Linked DNA regions of Caenorhabditis elegans. The protein of the gene in region 3 interacts with the protein of the main gene of each other region in a pairwise test. Each region holds a gene or a part of one and is shown on either strand. Other genes may lie near its edges.

Region 1 (5,494 bases), on a different chromosome or scaffold from region 3:
AATAGCTGATATTCTGTACGAAGTAACAAAAATTCTAACATTTTCTCACATTTCAGCCAAGTATCTGCAGTCAAATACACGAGTTACAATCTGATGGCATCGATTGGCTACTACAGGTATATTGTCCAAATAATTCATTTCTAAATACTTTATTTTCCAGATACGAGTAACAGATACATCAGTAAAAAATGTTATCTGCCGCGTTTCCACGAGCCTTCTAAATCGAATTTTTGGATTTGATGTTCAACAGTGCAAGGTTACAAAATTAATGTGCTATTCGTAAACCTTTTTTTTTCAGAATTTATTCAACAAAAATCAAGTCGAGGAGCTACGTGCGAAGAAATGCGAAGCCGAACGTAAACTTCTTGGATTCAAACGTCTTGATCTTCTTTTATGGGTTGAGGTTTCACCAGAGCGTAACCAAATTCCGCTCATTCTTGACGTGAAAACGATTTCTGATGCTCTCAATATTTTGTAATTATTTCTATTGCTTGCTACCTGAATTCACGTGTACCACAATATAGTCATGTATTATTTAATTGTTCTTGTTTTTTTGTTGTTTCCAAATACAATACAACTGTTTTAAGCTTTTTCTTTCGTTAAAATTTCTTTAAAACAGAAATGTAACAAAAAACATAAATTTAAACAAACTGTATGGAAAACTGTACAGTTTTCGATACAACGAGAGTTTGAAACTACAGTACTCTTTAAAGGGTCATGCCATTTTCGAATTCATCAAAAGTTCGTCGGGTCGAGACATACATACTACAGTAAGAAATGTAATATTCTCATAAAGCTCAAAACAATGTATTTATAACCCAATCAACAGCATTTAGACCGGACTATATTTTTCCTATCGGGATCTCCCTTTGTTTTGAAACAGACGATTAAAACTCAAAAAACGCAAAGTAAAATTGAAATTCGTTCATTTTGTTAATGATCGAAATATTTAGGTTACATCAGTATAAAAGGTTTGCATAAGGCAATAAAAATAACGTTATTTTACATGAAATGTTAGAATAGAATTATATGTCTAGTTCATAGACATCTGGGACACGTCACCCAAGAGAGTCCGTTGCTGCACGGCCGATCCGATGTTAGTACTGCGCATCTTTGAGGCGAATTCGATGCTTCTCTTGGACTCTGTCGCTTGCTCGTTGCATGGATTGAGATTGACCACAACCATAGTCTTCGAGTTGCCACGTCCCAAGCAGTCCATCAGCACTTGTGTCAGTTTGCTGTCGCGATATGAAACATGTCCCTTCTGGGATCTTTGCTGGCTGATGCACATCTGAAGGATAGACAACGACTGGTTGATATTAGTCATCTCCTTGAACTGGTCGCCACTGACACCAGACTCCTTGGCACGTTCGGATCCTGCGAGATCCACAAGTTTGAGCTGGCACGATGTTGAAATTCCTGTATATCAATATTGTGAATTAATTATTTTTATTTTCGAAAGTTACCAGTTGATGGCTGATGAGCTGTAATCTTCCACATATAAACGGCGTGCGAACGAGACGAGCTCTCATTGCACTTTGTCGCCGCCGTCTTCCTGCCACCGTCTGCTACACGAAGAAGTCTAGCCACATCCGAGACATTGGAAATCGTGTGCTCGGAGAGCCCAATCATGGAAACCGTTTGATCGTTCAAACGAAGTTGGACAACGGCGCGGTCACTGAGAAGGTCGTATGCCACGTTGTTGTAGACTTCTAGGAAAGACAACGAGAAGTCGAATTTCCATCCAAGTGACTCGAGCTTTCTGGATTCGGCGAACAGAAATGCAGCTGCTCTCGGGATGATTCCTTCCTCTTCACCATTTCCTCCTCGCATCGTGTGAGTTTTGCCACTTCCGGTTTGTCCATAGGCAATCAATCCGACGTTGTACCCATGCAGTGACGACTGAAATTATCAATTTTCAATTATTAATATTATATTTTGAAACTAACCCGAATGAACTCCTCGACGTTCGCGAACACTTCCTTCTGCGAGAAGACTGGCGTGAAAACCTTCTCGAATTTGACCACAATTCCAGGCTTCGAGCCTTCATTGATTCTGATGGTATCGATAGCCGGATACTCAATTGCAGAACTCGAGGCGTCGGCTTCAGATTTGATCAACGGCCGAACGCGAACAGCCACACGAATTTGACCGCGTAAATCGACAACATCGTTGTGCAACTTTCTCAACTCAGCTTCCTTTTCGTTGAGCAGATCCCGGAGATCGTTGTTGTGCACACGATAATCCTCGCACTCCTCCACTTTCGCCTTGTTGACTTCTTTCAGCGTGCTCAATTGATCTTGCAGTGAAATCAGCTTGCGATCCGCTCCTTCAAGTTTGCCATCCAGGATTTGGATCTTGCTCTTCTGATGTTCAGCAAAGTCGGTAGCCTCAGCCATCGCACTCTCGAGCTGCGCAATTTTCTCTTCAAGAAGCGCCATCTTAGAAGGGAGAATAGGCTTCTGTGCCACTGGTCGGGCTCTTGTCACCGACGGCTTCAGGGAAGAAGTCGCAGTTGAGCGTTGAGTGGATGGTGGCGGTGGACGACCTGTGCGAAGTTGTCGAAACGTAGAAGCTGCCGTCAGTGTGGAAATACGGCTCGCGGTGGATTGCATCGTTGGTATGGGACGGGAACACGACGCTGGTTTGGCCATCGCTGATCGTTCTGGCAACGATGCTCTACCAGTTGCAGGCGTTGTGGGGGTAGGCAAACGAGACGGAGGACGACGAGCAGCGGCTGAAAACTCGTAATTAAAGTAGTTGTTAACAAAAAAGGTTTTAAACAAAAACAAAAACATGTTTTATTTAGAAGTGTGAACACTTTGAAATCACGAGGAAGTTATTTAAAAACACAAATGACAAATTTACCTCCAATCGTTATTCCTCCAGGAGCCGACTGTCTTGGGATTGTTGTTGAATTGGCTTCTTTGGTGGATGGCGCGGCAGCACGTCCTCTTGTGATCTTCGGCGTTGCTCCGATAGTCGACCGAAACAGGCCACTTCTTCTTCGAGCGACATTCATCGCGAAATTTGGGACAAAAATGAGGAAATCAGCCCCTTCATTGACATTTTCCCGCTCAAAGTTGAACTCCGCCTCTGAAAATTCCCGCCAAATCGAATGGATTACCGTAGTCAACTACGGTATTAGATCAAAAATTTATATCATGTTGAGCTCATCCAGAATTGTCGGATATAATTATTTTGTTGTCAAAAGGCATAAAGAATGCCGTAAAAATTATTTATAACTATAACACAGAAGGCTTATCCATAATTGCACTGATATCAGGTTATACAAACAAATATATAAAATGCAGGTCTAGAAATTATAATGTGAGCGACACTCCGATATTCCGGTGCGCGCCTTGTTTACCGTATATCTACACCAAAGTAATTGCAAAAAAAAAATTTGAAAATATTTGCTTGCGAAAATTTTTATACACTTTCTTCAATATTTTGATTTTTCTGTGGTTTTTTAAAAATATAGGTTGGTAAATGATTGTTTCCAGATGACTTCTATCGATGTAACAGAGATTATCAAATCATCGACATCTTCTTTGTATCAGGTAAATTGATATTAAATTTTTTTGATTATAAATAGTTTACAGCCAGCAAGAAAGAAATCTCGTTTTGACGATAGTGCTTCTTCTTCATCTCAAGCTGGCCAGCCAAAACCAGAAGATATTCTTGCGGCTTTGGAAGCCGATCAATCAAATTATGTGGCTCTCGACGATGTGCAAGTTAAGAAACTTGTTATTCAACTTGACAAAAAGATGCGATTAAATCGAGAACAAAGAGTTAAAAATCCAGATGATGCTCAGAAATTCATGGAATCGGAAATTGAATTAGACAAGGCAATTCAAGAAATGCATAGTCTGGCTTCTCAACCAGACCTTTATGGATCGTTTGTTGAAGTCAACGGAGTTGAAATTCTTCTTCAATTATTAGGACACGAGAATACTGATATTGTGTGTGCAACACTTAGTCTCTTGAGAGAACTTACAGACGATGATGTGATGAACGAAGGAGAAGATGGAGCAGCTGAACTTATTGAAAGTCTTGTGTCTGGATCGATTATCACAACTTTGTTAGCATGCGTAGAGAGGCTCGATGAAAGCGTCAAAGATGAAGCGGATGGCGTCCATAATGCACTCGGAGTTGTGGACAATGTAAGAAAAATCGATATTTGAAAAACAAAACAATATATTTTCAGATGATTGGTTTCCGCGATGACATTACTGAAGAATGCGTAAAGCACGGATTCACGGTTTGGCTTCTGAAAAGATGCTTTCAGAAAGGTGCATTTGATGCGAATAAGATGTACGCTTCGGAACTTCTTTCAGTCATATTGCAGACTTCTGATACTGCAAAGGCAAAGCTGACAGAGAAAATTGATGGCATCGATATTTTATTGAGAGTGAGTAGCCAAACAAAGTATCAAGAATAAATTGAACTTTTAAGACCATTGCTGTGTACAAAAAGAACGATCCAGCAAATGTAGACGAACGAGAATACATGGAAAATCTATTCAACTCACTTTGTGCCGCACTTATGCATCCGGCTAATCGAAGTACGAATTTTTTTGAATATAAACACCAAAAAAATTGCTCTTGTTCAAAATAAATGTTTTCAGAAAAGTTCCTCGACGGAGAAGGTCTTCAATTGATGAATTTGATGCTCCGAGAGAAGAAACAAGCAAGACAAAGTGCTCTGAAAGTTCTGAACCATGCAACATCAGGAGACGAGGGAATCGAAAATTGCAATAAACTTGTCGAAATGCTCGGATTGAGAACAATTTTCCCGTTATTCATGAGAACACCTTCAAAGACAAAAAGAAAGGATACGACACCTGATGAACATGAAGAACACGTTTGTACGGTAAGATTTATGTTGTGATATTATTTTGAATGTTTTAGCTTCAAAATTGGACTGGTAAATCGGACTTTCGGTTTTTCTCCTTTTTTGAACAAAAATTGAGTTTTCAAATCTGCCTTGCACTTTTTGATACTTATCGAACATATAATTAAATTAAAAATCGAAAAATCTATTTCTACGAATTACATTTTACAAAAAGTGACTAATTTATATTGTAGGAAATGTTCTTTTGATGATAAATAATAATTTTTTAGATTCTCTCTTCACTGCTGGCAGCATGTTCGGAGAACCACCGTCAACGAATTGTTCAAAAATTTGTTGAGCACGAACATGAGAAAGTGGACAGAGCTGTGGAGCTATTTTTGAAGTACAAGTGAGTTGAAGCACATTCCGTTATGAAAAATAATTTTATTTCAATTTCAGAGAAAAAGTTCAACGATTTGAATTGAAAAAGAAGCGTCAATCACAAGAAGCTGGAACATCAGAAGATGATGATCCAGATCGAGCATATTTGGATAAACTAGACAATGGTCTCTACACGCTTCAACGTCTTACTCTTATACTCGGTGAAGTGGCAGTTGGTGTTGAATCGGCTCGTCTCAGAGAGGAGAAGCTTTTCCAA
Region 2 (4,445 bases), on a different chromosome or scaffold from region 3:
TAAGGTAATGTTATTTTCTTCTAAAATAAGGAAAAATGATATTTTTTTGAAGTATCGGGAAAACGAAAAACCCACACACCCTTGATGCGAGAAACTGTGGTTTACCGTCTTATTCTTGAAGCGATTTGGTGGCCTTCATGTGCTCGATGATAATTTTCTTCCTCTTCGTCATCCTCTTCATCTTCATCACTCATCTCAGAATCGACATCTTCTTCGACATTAAAAAATACAGATCGATGGCTTGTTGGTACTCTGAAGAACTATATATTTCCAATATGCTCAAACAAAAATAAGTTAGAACTCACCTTACGTGTTGTGATGCATTTCTATTATCTATTCTGTCAGTTTCTCTTGGTGCAGAATATGTAGCATCATCGGAAAATTCTTCCTCTTCTTCATCCATCATTTCTTCATCGTCATTATCGCTGTCCAAATCCCAATTCCCTCCACCATTCGGAAAATCAGGCCTTTCACCTTCATTTTGCCGATTTTCCTGCTCTTGAATTCTACGTGCTAGCTCATAGTCTTCCATTTGTTGTTCATATCGCCTGAATGCTCGTCTTTGCTCTTCCACATCAACTTCAGGAAAACCTTTTATCCTATGTTGACGAGATCCACGCATTGGATCCATCCAACTTGTTGACTGAAATATCAAAATTTGAAATTTTAGAGAATGCTAATACAAATAACAAAATATTAAAAAGGAATAGTTACACCTTTAAAAAAGTGTCAGAATATCGACGATCATTTGATTTATCTCAAATAACAATTTTTCTGCTGAAATATTTTCGAAAAATTGCTCAAAATGGGCGGCAAGTTGGTGATTGTCGAAAAACAAGCTCGATAATTCTTCAATACGATAATCAAATTTCAGGCTATTTTGGGCATTTTTTCCAAAACTTCAGCTGAAAATAAAGATATTTTCAGATAAATCAAGCGATTGTATATATTTCGGCACATTTTGCTAATGAACTGGAACAGTAAAAAATCACCGCAAACAACGAAGAAAATATGTTAGAAGTATCATGACTAAAACATAAGTTGAGAAGACATCAATATTCGAAAATATATATACATGCATTCATTTTTTTGTGAGATTGGATTAAAAAATAGGCAAATAAAAAAAAACAGGCAATCTCCGATAATATAGTAATCTTAACGATTTTACAAGCAATATAGGTGAGTTATATGGCACAAAACAATATGAGTTAAAGGGAATTTACAAATTATTTGGAAGTTATTCGGCGCTTGGATCGACGAAGAGAAGACTGTTTTCTCACAGAAATCACAGACATCTTCGATACGTCCGGCTTTCTTGCCCATTTTCGACGACAAAGCGGGCACGATGGTTTGGACGAACTGCGATACCAAATATCGACACATCTGAAAATTATATTTATGTTAATGTCGACAAAAACTGCTACAATTACTCTTCACATCCAATAATCTGTAGACAATTGTTGCATCCAAGCGGCGAAACCGGAACCTCGAAGCACATTGTACACTCTCCGTGGGAGCCGTCTTGATTGCGTCGTCTGGGATGTCGATCTGTGATTCCGGTAGATGTGCTCGGCCCTTCAAAGTCTATGGGAACGTGCTCCTGGTCATATGTTCTCGCATCATCGCCAATAAATGATTGATCGTTAGTGTTCGTTGGTGACGAATGATTTCCCGAGTCACCGCTGGTTCCACTACTGCTACTTGAAAGGTTTTCAAACTCGATTTCAAGGATGGGAGAAACTGCTCGACCCCTTCTTCTACGAATCGGTGTAATCGGTAGATTGGTTTGAGCAGTCGCTGACATTCTGATTGAGATTCTTGCAGAACTCCGACGTCTCAAGCCCAACAATCCTGTAGAAAAAATCGTAATCTCTGGCGATGTGGGTGATGCACGCTCTTGAGAAGATGATTCTGGTTGCTGAACAGTAGGAGGTACCTCTGGCTGTGTATTGGGTGCTGCCGGGATTTGATTTGCAGGATTATGTATGCGTCGGCTAATATCTCCAAATCTCTCCTGTTCAGGGTTTGCATATCTCCGACGTCTCAAAACGGAAACCGGGCTCGCATTGGGCGATGCTTGTGGTTGCTGAACTGGCGGAGGTACTGGAACTGGCGGTGTGTTGGGCGCTGCCGGGACTTGATTTGCATCATTATTTATATGTTGGACATCGTGATCATGAATAAGTTGTGCAAAAGCTTGATCGTTCATCTGCTGCTCAAACATCTCTAACGCTCGCCTGTAAAATAATCAGGTACCGAATAGGAATACTATTCACAGTCAAACCTTTGTTGTTCCAAATCGACTTCTGAGAACGAAAAGTTCAACAACGATGAACGCCGTCGCCGAGACCTGCGTGCTGGTGATGGCATTCCGTTTGAGTCTGGAAGAGAAGAGAATAATTGCTTTCAAAATCTTAAGCTGCGCTTGAAACAGAAAGTCTAGAAAGCATTAAGAATGATTTAAATGAAAAAAAAATGACGGTTTCTCAATTGAAAATGTTTTTAGAATCTGTAAAAATGCGAAACTAAGGCGCGAGAAAAATAGAACAAAACATGAAATTTCATGAAACGAAAAGGGCAAACTTGGTAATCGCTGCGAGACCCACGACTCATCTAATGTGGTTACTGTATTCGAGAAATTTTTATTTCTTTTTCGTTTTTTTGTTGCAATTTCTGAACAAATTCGTTCTCAATAAGAATAATTCCATAGAAAATAAATTAATTATTTTTTATTAAAAAACCCCGTAAGAAAAACAAGAAAATCAAATAGATAACTGTAAAATCCTAGAACATGAACCGTTGCTTGACGCCAGGTTCGTTGGACCATTCGAACGTTTTAAATAAGAATAAAACAAAAACTGCCGCAAAAATCACAGCTTGAGATATAATTTCCAAGAAGAGAAGTGATTTTCTAGAGTTATTTACAGTCGAAAGTCTCCAGAGAACATAAGGAATAATATAATATCGCATTTCGAATAGATGAGCTGGAACCAAAACGAGTAAAGATGCGATTATAAATAGAATTTTGTGGAATATATGCACGGACGGTGTCGATGTCGTCATAAATCTTAAAGAAAACACGTAGAGAGGAGCAAGAGTTGTCCGCATTGTGGGATTTGCCAAGAATCGCCTCCAGATGTAGAATGTGAAATGCCGATTATCAGCGAGAAGATACGGGTGATCATAAGAATAGTAGTAGACAAGAACTGCCACAACTGCTTGTAGAACTAATGATTTCATGTCGGTTAGGTGTCGAAGGTGAGATAACAGATTTGGGATGATTTGAGTCCAAGTGTGAGCCGCGCAGAATGCAACCATGTAGAAAAATTGAGCCACGTGGAACTTTGGTTGGTGAGCTTTTGCATCTCCAAGGACAATTTGGAAATCATTGAAATATATAAACATCGCAAATCCAATTGCAAGTGTAATGAATGGCCATAGAGAAAATGCAGTTGAAATTATGATCTTAAGATTTTCCATTTTTGAGCGGGACTTGTCAATTCTTGAAGCAATTACAGAGAACGCGTATATCGCTGCCCAAATGATATTTGTCTGGCGTGTCAGTATTGAGATTAGGAATAAGAACGCAGATGCAATTGGGTTTCTGAAATATCACATCATTATTTTCAATAGATGCATTGATTTACCCGATCGAAAATCCCCAAATAACTGAAGTGAGTGACAACAAATCGGTATAAAAAAGAATTGAAGACGATATCAAAATTGGAAGCATTCCGACGATTGATGCAGTCAGCCATACATCTTGCTGCAAATCGGTATTTTTCAAATAAATCTTCAAAGTTGGAATTCTTACTCTAACGAACATTCTCCGAAAACGGCAAAATGCTGGTATAGCGAAAAATAGAAGAATCGAGTTAGCGTATCTTTCATTTCCACCACATAATGGCATTGAAATAACATAAAGTGCCGGTGGAGTTGTAATTAATGGATTCCAGCTGTAATTTCCTGAGCAATATGATCTAGTTTGAGCTGAAAATTAGGGAAATTGTAGACAGAATCTCGACAATTGTGTCTCACTAATGTGGAAGATCTCATCCATATACGGCTCTGGAACATAGTGGTAGACAATTGTTGTCAGCAGAACGTGAATGCAAGAAAACGAAGCACCAAGTAGAAAATCGCCTAAACTTGAGAAAATTGGTTAAATGAATTTTTAACTCCAGCAAATATTCATTCACTTTTCCTGGATATTGCGGCAAATGGCAGGCTTATTCGGGGCGGTTTCGATTTTGTCATCTGAAAGTAAATAAATTGTTCTTCAGTATATTTATTTATTTATTTTCTATTAGATTTAAAAATATATTGAAAATAAAAGCTTAAAGCATTAAATTCATTGAAATCTTTCAGTTAAAAAATCTGTCGTAAATCCGCAAGCACCTAATCTGACGACAACTTGCGTACAGGCGGGAGAGCGAAAACATTTA
Region 3 (8,800 bases):
TTTTCTTCTAGAAGATACGCTTAACAACACGCGACGCGTAACATCGGAGCATCGTTGTATCGTTTTCTTCGAGGAAAATAGCGTTTGGCACAGTGCCAGATCCCCTTTTCGTTGCTCCCCTTTTCGTATCTCCCCTTTTCGCAGATCCCCTTTTTGCAGATCCCCTTTTCGTTCTGCTCCCCTTTTCGTGGGGCCTCCCGAATTGCTCTACCTCGTAAAACGAAGCGAACCACTCCAATTAAGAAACGATCATTCCTACTGGCTAAATCCGCCAGACTGAATTATTCAAGAAAACTTTCCATTTATTTAGCAACTTTTATCAAGATGTACTAGATTAACATCATCGCGTGGTCGGAAATTGAATTTTAAATTAAATTCGAGTACTCAATTTATCGTTTTGCTGATTTCTAAATTTCTGTACTAGTTTTCTCATGTGAATAGAACACAACAGTAATAACATCCTACAAAAAGTTCATATTCATAGTAATAAAAAGACGATTCGGGAAATGATGATATACGAGGAAGACAGACGGAGAGGGCAGGAAAATGTAAATAAAAAAAATAAAATTAGAATCAGGTGAAAAATGAATAAATTAAAAAGTGGCTAGTCTAGTCAAATTCAATTGTGAATCTTTCGATTCCCCAAGACGAACGATCACGGAAGATCTTAAACATTTGCCGATGTCCGAGAAGCTTTGTCCACTCTGGAAGTGTATTCTTATCAGCACGGTACTCGAACAAAACACGTCCAATTGTTTGAAGAGAGAGCCTGAAATTATATAAATAGTTTTAAAAAAAACTTATGTCCCAATAGCTTACTTTTGAAGACTGTTCTTGCTGATTGTAGGAGCATGTAGACGAGTTTCCAGACTTTCAAGCACGTCCTGTAAGAGTTCTTCTTCCGCATCATTTTCGATCAAATTGATCAATCGGCAATAATCAGTGTAGACCATTCCAGTCGCACCCCACTCGGGAATCTGATTTTCGAAAGGACGAACCATCGCGCATGCTGCTTTGAGAGCGTCATGATCTCCAGCTACAACTGCAGTTGGTGCAATATCATCCACAAATAAGCGACAAATTTCCAGATAGTTCTTTGCAGCCACAGCCAATTCGAAAAGTTGGGTAGAATCATCGACTGACTTTGCAATTGAGAATTGAGCATCAGCAATCCATTCCGAAGGAATATCGAACTGTTCGGAAATAGAATCAAACATATCATTGTCGGTGAAACGAGCAATACGGTCGAGGAGGGAACGAACTGCTGTTGATCTTCTGGATAAATATATTTATAAATTGAAAGATTCTAAAATTCAACTCACTCTTCATCATCATCAATGTGCTGCAAAACAAACAATGCATATTTTGAGAGACTTGATGCTTCCAATTGAGATGAATAGTTTCTGTGAAGTCTTGTTTCCGAAGTCTTTGACATTGTACGGTATCCAACCGAATAGAGCAAGCTCCATACGTGCCATTGAAGGAAATAATCGTTGGGATTTTCTCCAGCTGCACAGTCAAGTACAACTTCCACTGAGTGCTGTGATTCACATGCCAATTTGATGAGTTCTCCGGGCAGATCTCCACGATTAGAAGCGGCACGGCCAGCATTGACATCTTTCTGATAAGCATCGTAAGATTCTTCTAGACCAGTCCATGCACGAAGATACCAGACATGCAAACCGAGTGCTTGAATCCAATTGAGTCCATCAAGACAGTTGATCGAATGATTCTTTCCGTCTTGATCCCATTCGTAGTGTGATAGTCCTGACATCAGAACATAGCATTTGAGAGTTTCCTTCGGAATCAAATGAAGAGTTTCGCATTTCTTCCAGTTGTCAAGTTGTGCTTTAAAGCAATGAACAGTAGCTTCTGGGCACACAGCAGAAGTCTGAAGCATCGTAGCAAGCTGTGGCTGATTATTATCAATCGCAATTTGAAAAGCTTTATCGATGTCTCCAAGACAGAGTTGATTCCAAACACCATTTGAAGATGTATCCGCACTTCTATCGTCTGGAACAGACTTCACTGCTTCTGTTCTAAGCCATTCTCCAATTTCTTCACCACGCTCGAAAGACCATCCTTCTCGACGTTCATATGGGAATAGAGCAGATATCAACTTCCAAACAGAAACATGTCCATCATATCCACCAGCTTGAGCGACATCGATGTACTTGGCAAACATGGATGAATATGAGTCAGAATAAGTGACGAAGTTAGAAGTGAGCGAAGATTTAACCGAGTTGGATTGTGAAGATGGACCCTTGCGACTGGTTTCAGATACATGAACATTCACATCAAGCATTGAGATTAGCGTGTTCTGAAAATTGATTAAATTAAAAATGGGCCATAGAAGAGAACGGTGTAAAAAAGTACTTAGAAATCCAATTGACAAATAGACTGTAAATCACAGAAGGGCTTTTATAAAGTCACAAATATTACCTCATTCACGTCCGATGTTCTATCAATTGTCCCAAAGAGTACTTGATTGTGTCGGGGTTGAGCTGACCACACAAGACATCCAGTTTCACTCCATCCGACATGTGAACTTCTTCCCTTCACAATTCCTATATCAATCAGTTTGCTCTTTCCATATCCAATCATTTTAGCAGAGTGTCCACCACCGTGGAACCGATGAGCTGGGTCGTTGGCCTTCGGCATGACTTTCAGTTCCTGGAGATTGCGAATGAATCGACTGCTTTCGTATTCCAAATCAGCGAGAAGTTCAAGTTTCGGCTTCTTTTCCGGCTGCTGACCTTCTTCAATAATTGAATCATGACCACTTTCATTGAATTCGGTGGTCATATTTCCGATGCATGATTCTTCTCGACTATCATCCAATGTTCCACCACCAAGACCTTTTCGGTTAACACGACGAATGATCGGCACAACATCACCTAATGCAGCAGGTGCCGGAACTCGTTCCAGAATTATCTGAAACAAATAACTGCTGATGGCTCTCCATATTAAACCCTAAACGGTCTGTCTACCAATACCATTTGAAGAGGCTAATTTTAAAAACAAATTTATTGAGTTAGAAAAGAATAAACGAGAATAATTTGAGTCTTTAGCCTGCCCTAGATGGTATTGGCAAGCAGTCATGTGAAATGCTAAGAATGAAAGCAGAAAATTTTTAAATGAAACAGCAAAACGTTTAGAAGGAAAATTAAAATACGGTGATGATTGAATTATAGTGAGTGACAATCATTCAAAACGGACCTCTTGATGGTGAGCATCCGTTGCCTTGTGCACCTTCTTTCTTTGCACTTGATTGTTCACGTCTCGAGCAGATGTATTCATGTCGATCTGGAAAACTATTTGTGTAAAAGGGTAAAATGAGTTTTAAAAATTTACCACTTGTAATGGAGAAGATGCCTGTAGTGCTTGCTGTGGAGGGGACCCATCCATTGGCTCATCATCGTCGGCCAATCCATACTTGCTGAAATGGTCCACACGGAAGACCCAGCTTCCAGTTTCTGCACGAAAATCTTTGAATGCGGCTCCCATCCGAATCGTTTGTCTCTCGAGATGCTCGCGCCAACCAATCTCGGAGAGTTTCACGACATCTCGCACTTCTTTCTTGGTCTTCTTATCAGTGTACCATACTCTTTCGAGTGTCACTTCTGCTGGCCTATTCAGTTCTTGACCTTCTGGAGCTTTCTCTTCTTCATTCGGATAAACCGTCACCTCGCGATGACGAAATACAACAATCTCGTCGAGAGCAACATCTTTCAGCTCGACTCGTCCTGGCCAGTAGACACTTCCGTACGACGATCTTCCAACTGTCAATCCATCCTCCAACACAACACGTCCGTTCTTGATCATGTTCTTCATCTCATTGATTGTCGGAAGAGAAAAGTAGTCGGGCTTTGTAAGCTTCACTCCTGCTGCCGAATTGACATTAACAGTTTCTTCAGAAGGCGTCGACACAACAGATGCTGCTGAACTAGTTGCAGCAGACACCGGCTCCAAGCCAGTGTGCTCATCGCATGTCGTATCCAAGTTCAACGATGGTGGATCTCTATTTCTGTCATTATGTCTCTGGATTACAGCCTGAACGGGGTCAACTGCTGGAGTGGAAGTGACAACGTCTTGACGTCTTTCGGATTCAGAGATTCGAGGAAGAGCATCTGGATCAGCTACACGGGATTCTCTTCCAACTCTCGAAGAATCTGCGAGCAGAGACATGTCCAACTGCTTCAAATTCGATCTTCTCACGGATCCACGAACTCCAAGACGATTTGAAGTTCCATTCATGGAAGCATCCAGAGCTGAGTCGATAGTTTTGTCGAGGGCACTTGATTCGTGAACACTTCGATTTGTCAGCGACATATTCGGATTGAATGTGCTGTTTCGAAGTCCGCGAGCAAGTGATGGTGGCGCTTCTTTGGAAGTGTAGTTCAAATCTTTGGTGACATCGGCTGACCTGGTAACTGCTGGAGAAAGATCACTCATCACTTTGCTGATTGGTGGAATGATAAACGACGAATCTTGTGCATCAGAAGACGATGACAGAGCGCCTTTCTTCGCAGCAAGGAATCTCAGCTGTCGTTGAGTACTAGCCGGCGAAGACTTCCCATCAATTTCTGGATTCGCATTGTATTTGAGTAGTGGTGAATCACCATACGGCGCATTTGTCAACTGCGACTTCAATGACTTCATGTTTGCTTGCATCTGGAGGACATCAGCCGTAACGCCAATCACAGGTACCGGGGCCACTTGTTGTTGCATTACAATTTGCGGTTGAGCAAGATTTCCGAATCCAGTATTCAACGGCTGTGTAGCTTGAGTGTTTGAACCAAACAGTCCTCCTGAAGAAGCTTGTGGCTGGGAACCAAAGAGACCGCCGCCTGTTCCAGTATTCGTCGTATTTCCGAACAAACCACCTGGCTTTGCTGCATTGTTTCCAAACAATCCACCTCCGGTATTTGTGGAACCGAAGGCATTTGTAGTTGTTGGCTGAGTGGCTCCAAATGTGAAGCCGGTACTTGTTGCAGGCTTCGCACCAAATAACGAACTGCCAGTATTGGCTGTCGAAGTATTTCCGAAGAGACTTCCACCGGTGTTTGCAGCAGCCGGCTGACCGAAAGCATTTGTCGCCTGAAAATTAATAAAATATTGAAATTCTAGGATATCTTAACTCACCGCTGGGGCACCTCCGAAACTGAATCCACTCGATTGTTGCTGTGGTTGTTGCTGAGCTTGGCCGAAGAGTCCGGTACCAGTCGTCCCCGTGTTGCCGAACAGGGACCCAGATTGATTTTGATTCTGTGTATTCCCGAACAACGATCCACCAGTATTCGTCTGTGGTTGTTGATTGCCGAAAAGAGACGATCCAGTTGTCTGACCGAATGTTGAAGCTCCTGTTGTAGCTAAGTTTAAGGTTAAAAATTGTGTTGATGCTAGATTTATTCTTACCTGTAGATCCGAACAGTGACGAGCCCGCTGGTTTAGCTCCGAAAAGAGATCCACTTGCAGCAGACGTGTTGGCGTTGTTGTTACCGAACAATGAACTTCCAGTGTTTGCTGTGCTCGTGTTCCCACCAAATGGAGATGACGTCGAAGCTCCCCCGAACAGAGAAGTCTTCTGTTGAGCATTACTTGATCCAAAAAGCCCACTGCTTCCAGCTTGGTTTGTTGTGTTGGATGCTCCAAAAAGCCCACCGCCAGTGGAAGTCGTTCCTGTTCCGGGAGCCTTTCTATTTGCAATGTAATCCTCCACTCGGAGCTCTTCAATACTCTTTCCATCGTACTTCGACATTGCAGAAATGCACATGTGCTTCGTGGAAATTGTCTGAGTTGTCCCATTTCTCATCATAGTATCAGAACTGATCGGTGGCTCAAACTTAACAGTGGTTCCAGATACGGTCGATGCTGAAGCTGATACAAGATTAATTTATTTATCGAAAATCAATTGTTTACCTCCAAAGAGACCTCCACCAGATGGTGCATTATTATTGGAACCAAAAATGCTGCTGGTTCCAGTATTGTTAGCGTTGTTACCGAATAGGGAACTGCTTGCGGGAGCTGCTGAAGAAGTTGACCCAAAGATACTTCTGTTGGCATTGTTCTGCCCTCCACCGAACAATGAACTCTGGTTGTTCTGAGGCTGCTGCGGACTTCCTAAAATATTAAAATAAATCAAACGCATACAATTATTGATCAAAATACCGAATATGCTGGAAGTGTTGCTGGCCGCTCCGAAGATTGATCCTGCCGGCTTGTTCTGTGCCGCCCCGAAAAGGCCAGTAGTTCCACTGTTATTGGCTGGCTGACCAAACAATCCTTTGTTTTGATTGTTCTGGTTGTTTTGTCCAAATAGACCGCTCCCAGAGCTGCCACCGCCAAAACTCGATGAGCCGAATGATTTGTTCTGGCCGAACATTTAGCTGAAACTTGCAATTGATGAGACGGTTATAGATGAAGCGATGAGCAAGTAATAATTTGCAGTGAATGAAAGGCGGTTGTCATGAACATTCTGCTAAGAGCTGTCACAAGTTTTCATACAACCAAAAAGATAGCATTTACTTGAAAATGTACTTTAGGATTTCCAAATCGGAATTACTCTACACTCAAATTGCACGCTAATGCGACTAGACGGACATTGATTGATTGATCAGGTTACAGGTACATATTTATGACTGAAAATGTGCAAGAATAACACAAAAAATGGGAGAACAACTTCTACAACCAAACTCGAGATGAAAAAATGAGCGAAATGATTTCGAATGCAAAAATTTTTTCGAAGTGATTCTGAAATCGCAACAGAGCGAGTTTGCATTATACACCCTGCGTCTCTTAAGTTCACACACTGTCTCACTGCGCGAGGGTTTTTGACAGTTCTCGACAAGTCTTTTATTTTTTCCCGCAATTCGTGTTTTTTCGTGGGGTTTATTGGAATAAACTGTTTTCCATAATCGTTCTAAAGTCGGTCTCCACTGAAAAACTTTTACAAATGCTTTTCTTTTCAAATAAATTGATTTTTACATTTTTTCTTTCAGATTCGGCAAGAAAATCTGGTTCAGATGCTCAAATGCCATAATCCGAAATGGGTAACACGTTAACTGGACGTTCGAACGCTATCGCACCGATTATCAGTGCGGAAGATGCTAAAACTTATAGTGAGTTTCAGGGATGTTACAAAACAAACATAAACTCAAATTTTTAGTATCGGACGAGGAGTATCGACGAATTCGCCAAGCTTTCCAACGCTTCAAAAATGGATGCATTAATTATGACGTAACTGTTTTTAATTATTTTTTTAACTTCACCATTTAAGGAATTCTGCTATCATGTTCTCGGAGGCGCGCAGATACCAGAAGAAAAACGACGCCTGCTGTTCAGCTTCTTCTCTCATGGCGCTGAAACCATTTCCTTTGACAATTTGCTTTCATCTCTTGTTGGATTGTGTAGAGTAGAAGAAGTACAATCGAGTCAGTCAAGAAACATTTCAGAAATAATATTAAATTATTTATTTTCAGGGTTTATCGAAGAATATCACGAGTTCGCGTCATGGGGATTGAGTCCTCCTAAGCTTACGATTCCGCTCAATGATTCCTATATCTCATTTTACGAAGTGATGTCTTATGTGACGCATTGTAAGATTTAAATTATCTTGATTTCCGTATTTCAAAAACCATTTTTCAGTATCCGTGAACGAGGTTATCGAGTTAGAGAAAGTGTTCGCCACGATCAGTGATCGAGCTGTCTGCAAACTGAATGAAGAGAAGTGGAAACAAGCATTGGGTGGATGCTTCCCGGATAGTTATGCTGAGAGATTATTCGCTGTTTTCGATGAGAATCGAGATGGTCAAATTGACTTCAGAGAGCTCGTTTGTACACTTTCGGCTCTTTGTCGTGGACCTCTACCAGGGAGAATTTCTCGTGAGTTTTTAAGAAATTATTTTGAGAAACTAAAAAGTTGTTTTAGAGTTGGCACGAATCTGGGACGTCGACTGTGACAAACTTCTGTCTGACGAAGAACTTTCTAACATGTACAAAGATCTTAATGTCCCAGAAGAACATCAGACTGTCACAAAATCATCGAATGGGAAATCTGCTCTCGTTGATTTTGGAATATGGGCACAGGAAAACGAAAAATATGTCAATGAATATTATTCTATGGCTCTTCAAATCGGACACATTTGTCTCGGATTGAGACCAGAGTCACGGAAAATGGAATTACAAATTGTGAAGTTAGTGTAGCTTTCAATTCTCAGTTTAAATAACTTTGAATTTCAGCGAATTTGAAAAACGTGCCTCTGAGCTTCCACTTTCCGAGTGGAACATTGTAGCTTCAGGATGGCATGCTGAGCTCAGATCCTTCCTGGAAGCAGATAAAAATCCGAATCCAATCGATAATTCTGGTATCAAGGGAACAAGAGAAGATAGCTGGACCAGCAAGGTTTGACTTTCTAGTCCGGAAAAGTAAAGAATTAATTAATTTTCAGGTTGCTTGCATTTCAGCTGAATCAGCTCGTCTGAAACCCGATCTTATTCCATCTGACTACATCCGAGTGCCTGTTCCACTTTGGAGAGCATGGCTCCGATGGCACGGATGTGCACTGACAGTAGATTCACAATTCACAAGAAAGTATCTGGATGGTGAATTCTTTGAAGACAACAAGCCCGCTCTTGAACTGTATCCACTCGAAATTCTCCTTCTGGGCCATGATCGTAAGAAGAGCCAGGATGGTACAGAAAACACTCCAAGATCCTTGACATCCTGGGCGTGTGCTCAAGTATCACGAAGTATGACTGTGGATGAGCTTCTCGCGCTGTGCAAGACAGAACTTCGACT

What was found.
Region 1: the proteins of npp-10 (region 3) and klp-15 interact in a two-hybrid assay, tested with the Caenorhabditis elegans proteins (one large-scale study listed by BioGRID).
Region 2: the proteins of npp-10 (region 3) and T24D1.3 interact in a two-hybrid assay, tested with the Caenorhabditis elegans proteins (one large-scale study listed by BioGRID).

The regions. Positions count from the first base shown.
Region 1 is NC_003279.8:5,576,160-5,581,653, forward strand, and holds klp-15 (Kinesin motor domain-containing protein), read right to left. Parts: upstream 3,036-5,494; 5' UTR 3,023-3,035; coding exon 2,869-3,022; intron 2,738-2,868; coding exon 1,950-2,737; intron 1,903-1,949; coding exon 1,467-1,902; intron 1,420-1,466; coding exon 1,034-1,419; 3' UTR 911-1,033; downstream 1-910. Other genes in the region: rmh-1 (RecQ-mediated genome instability protein 1 homolog), read left to right, coding at 57-116, 161-256, 299-478; ctnb-1 (Beta-catenin-like protein 1 N-terminal domain-containing protein), read left to right, coding at 3,507-3,563, 3,606-4,166, 4,211-4,414, 4,459-4,567, 4,631-4,875, 5,127-5,245, 5,296-5,494.
Region 2 is NC_003279.8:9,957,715-9,962,159, forward strand, and holds T24D1.3 (RING-type domain-containing protein), read right to left. Parts: upstream 2,382-4,445; 5' UTR 2,371-2,381; coding exon 2,285-2,370; intron 2,238-2,284; coding exon 1,431-2,237; intron 1,384-1,430; coding exon 1,227-1,383; 3' UTR 1,068-1,226; downstream 1-1,067. Other genes in the region: har-2 (RING-type domain-containing protein), read right to left, coding at 106-252, 306-631; algn-10 (Dol-P-Glc:Glc(2)Man(9)GlcNAc(2)-PP-Dol alpha-1,2-glucosyltransferase), read right to left, coding at 2,785-3,604, 3,648-3,766, 3,815-3,990, 4,039-4,143, 4,200-4,257.
Region 3 is NC_003281.10:6,013,164-6,021,963, forward strand, and holds npp-10 (Nuclear pore complex protein Nup98), read right to left. Parts: upstream 6,400-8,800; 5' UTR 6,386-6,399; coding exon 6,172-6,385; intron 6,124-6,171; coding exon 5,923-6,123; intron 5,881-5,922; coding exon of another isoform or gene 5,875-5,880; coding exon 5,419-5,874; intron 5,373-5,418; coding exon 5,146-5,372; intron 5,101-5,145; coding exon 3,355-5,100; intron 3,307-3,354; coding exon 3,220-3,306; coding exon of another isoform or gene 3,205-3,219; exon of another isoform or gene 3,010-3,204; intron 2,935-3,009; coding exon 2,443-2,934; intron 2,321-2,442; coding exon 1,323-2,320; intron 1,276-1,322; coding exon 820-1,275; intron 770-819; coding exon 610-769; 3' UTR 284-609; downstream 1-283. Other genes in the region: Ubiquitin carboxyl-terminal hydrolase cyk-3, read left to right, coding at 7,049-7,121, 7,169-7,239, 7,280-7,433, 7,482-7,598, 7,648-7,884, 7,931-8,195, 8,242-8,404, 8,451-8,800. UniProt on the Caenorhabditis elegans protein: Nup98 and Nup96 play a role in the bidirectional transport across the nucleoporin complex (NPC). Required for the nuclear import of hcp-4 during mitotic prophase, this step is essential for centrosome assembly and resolution.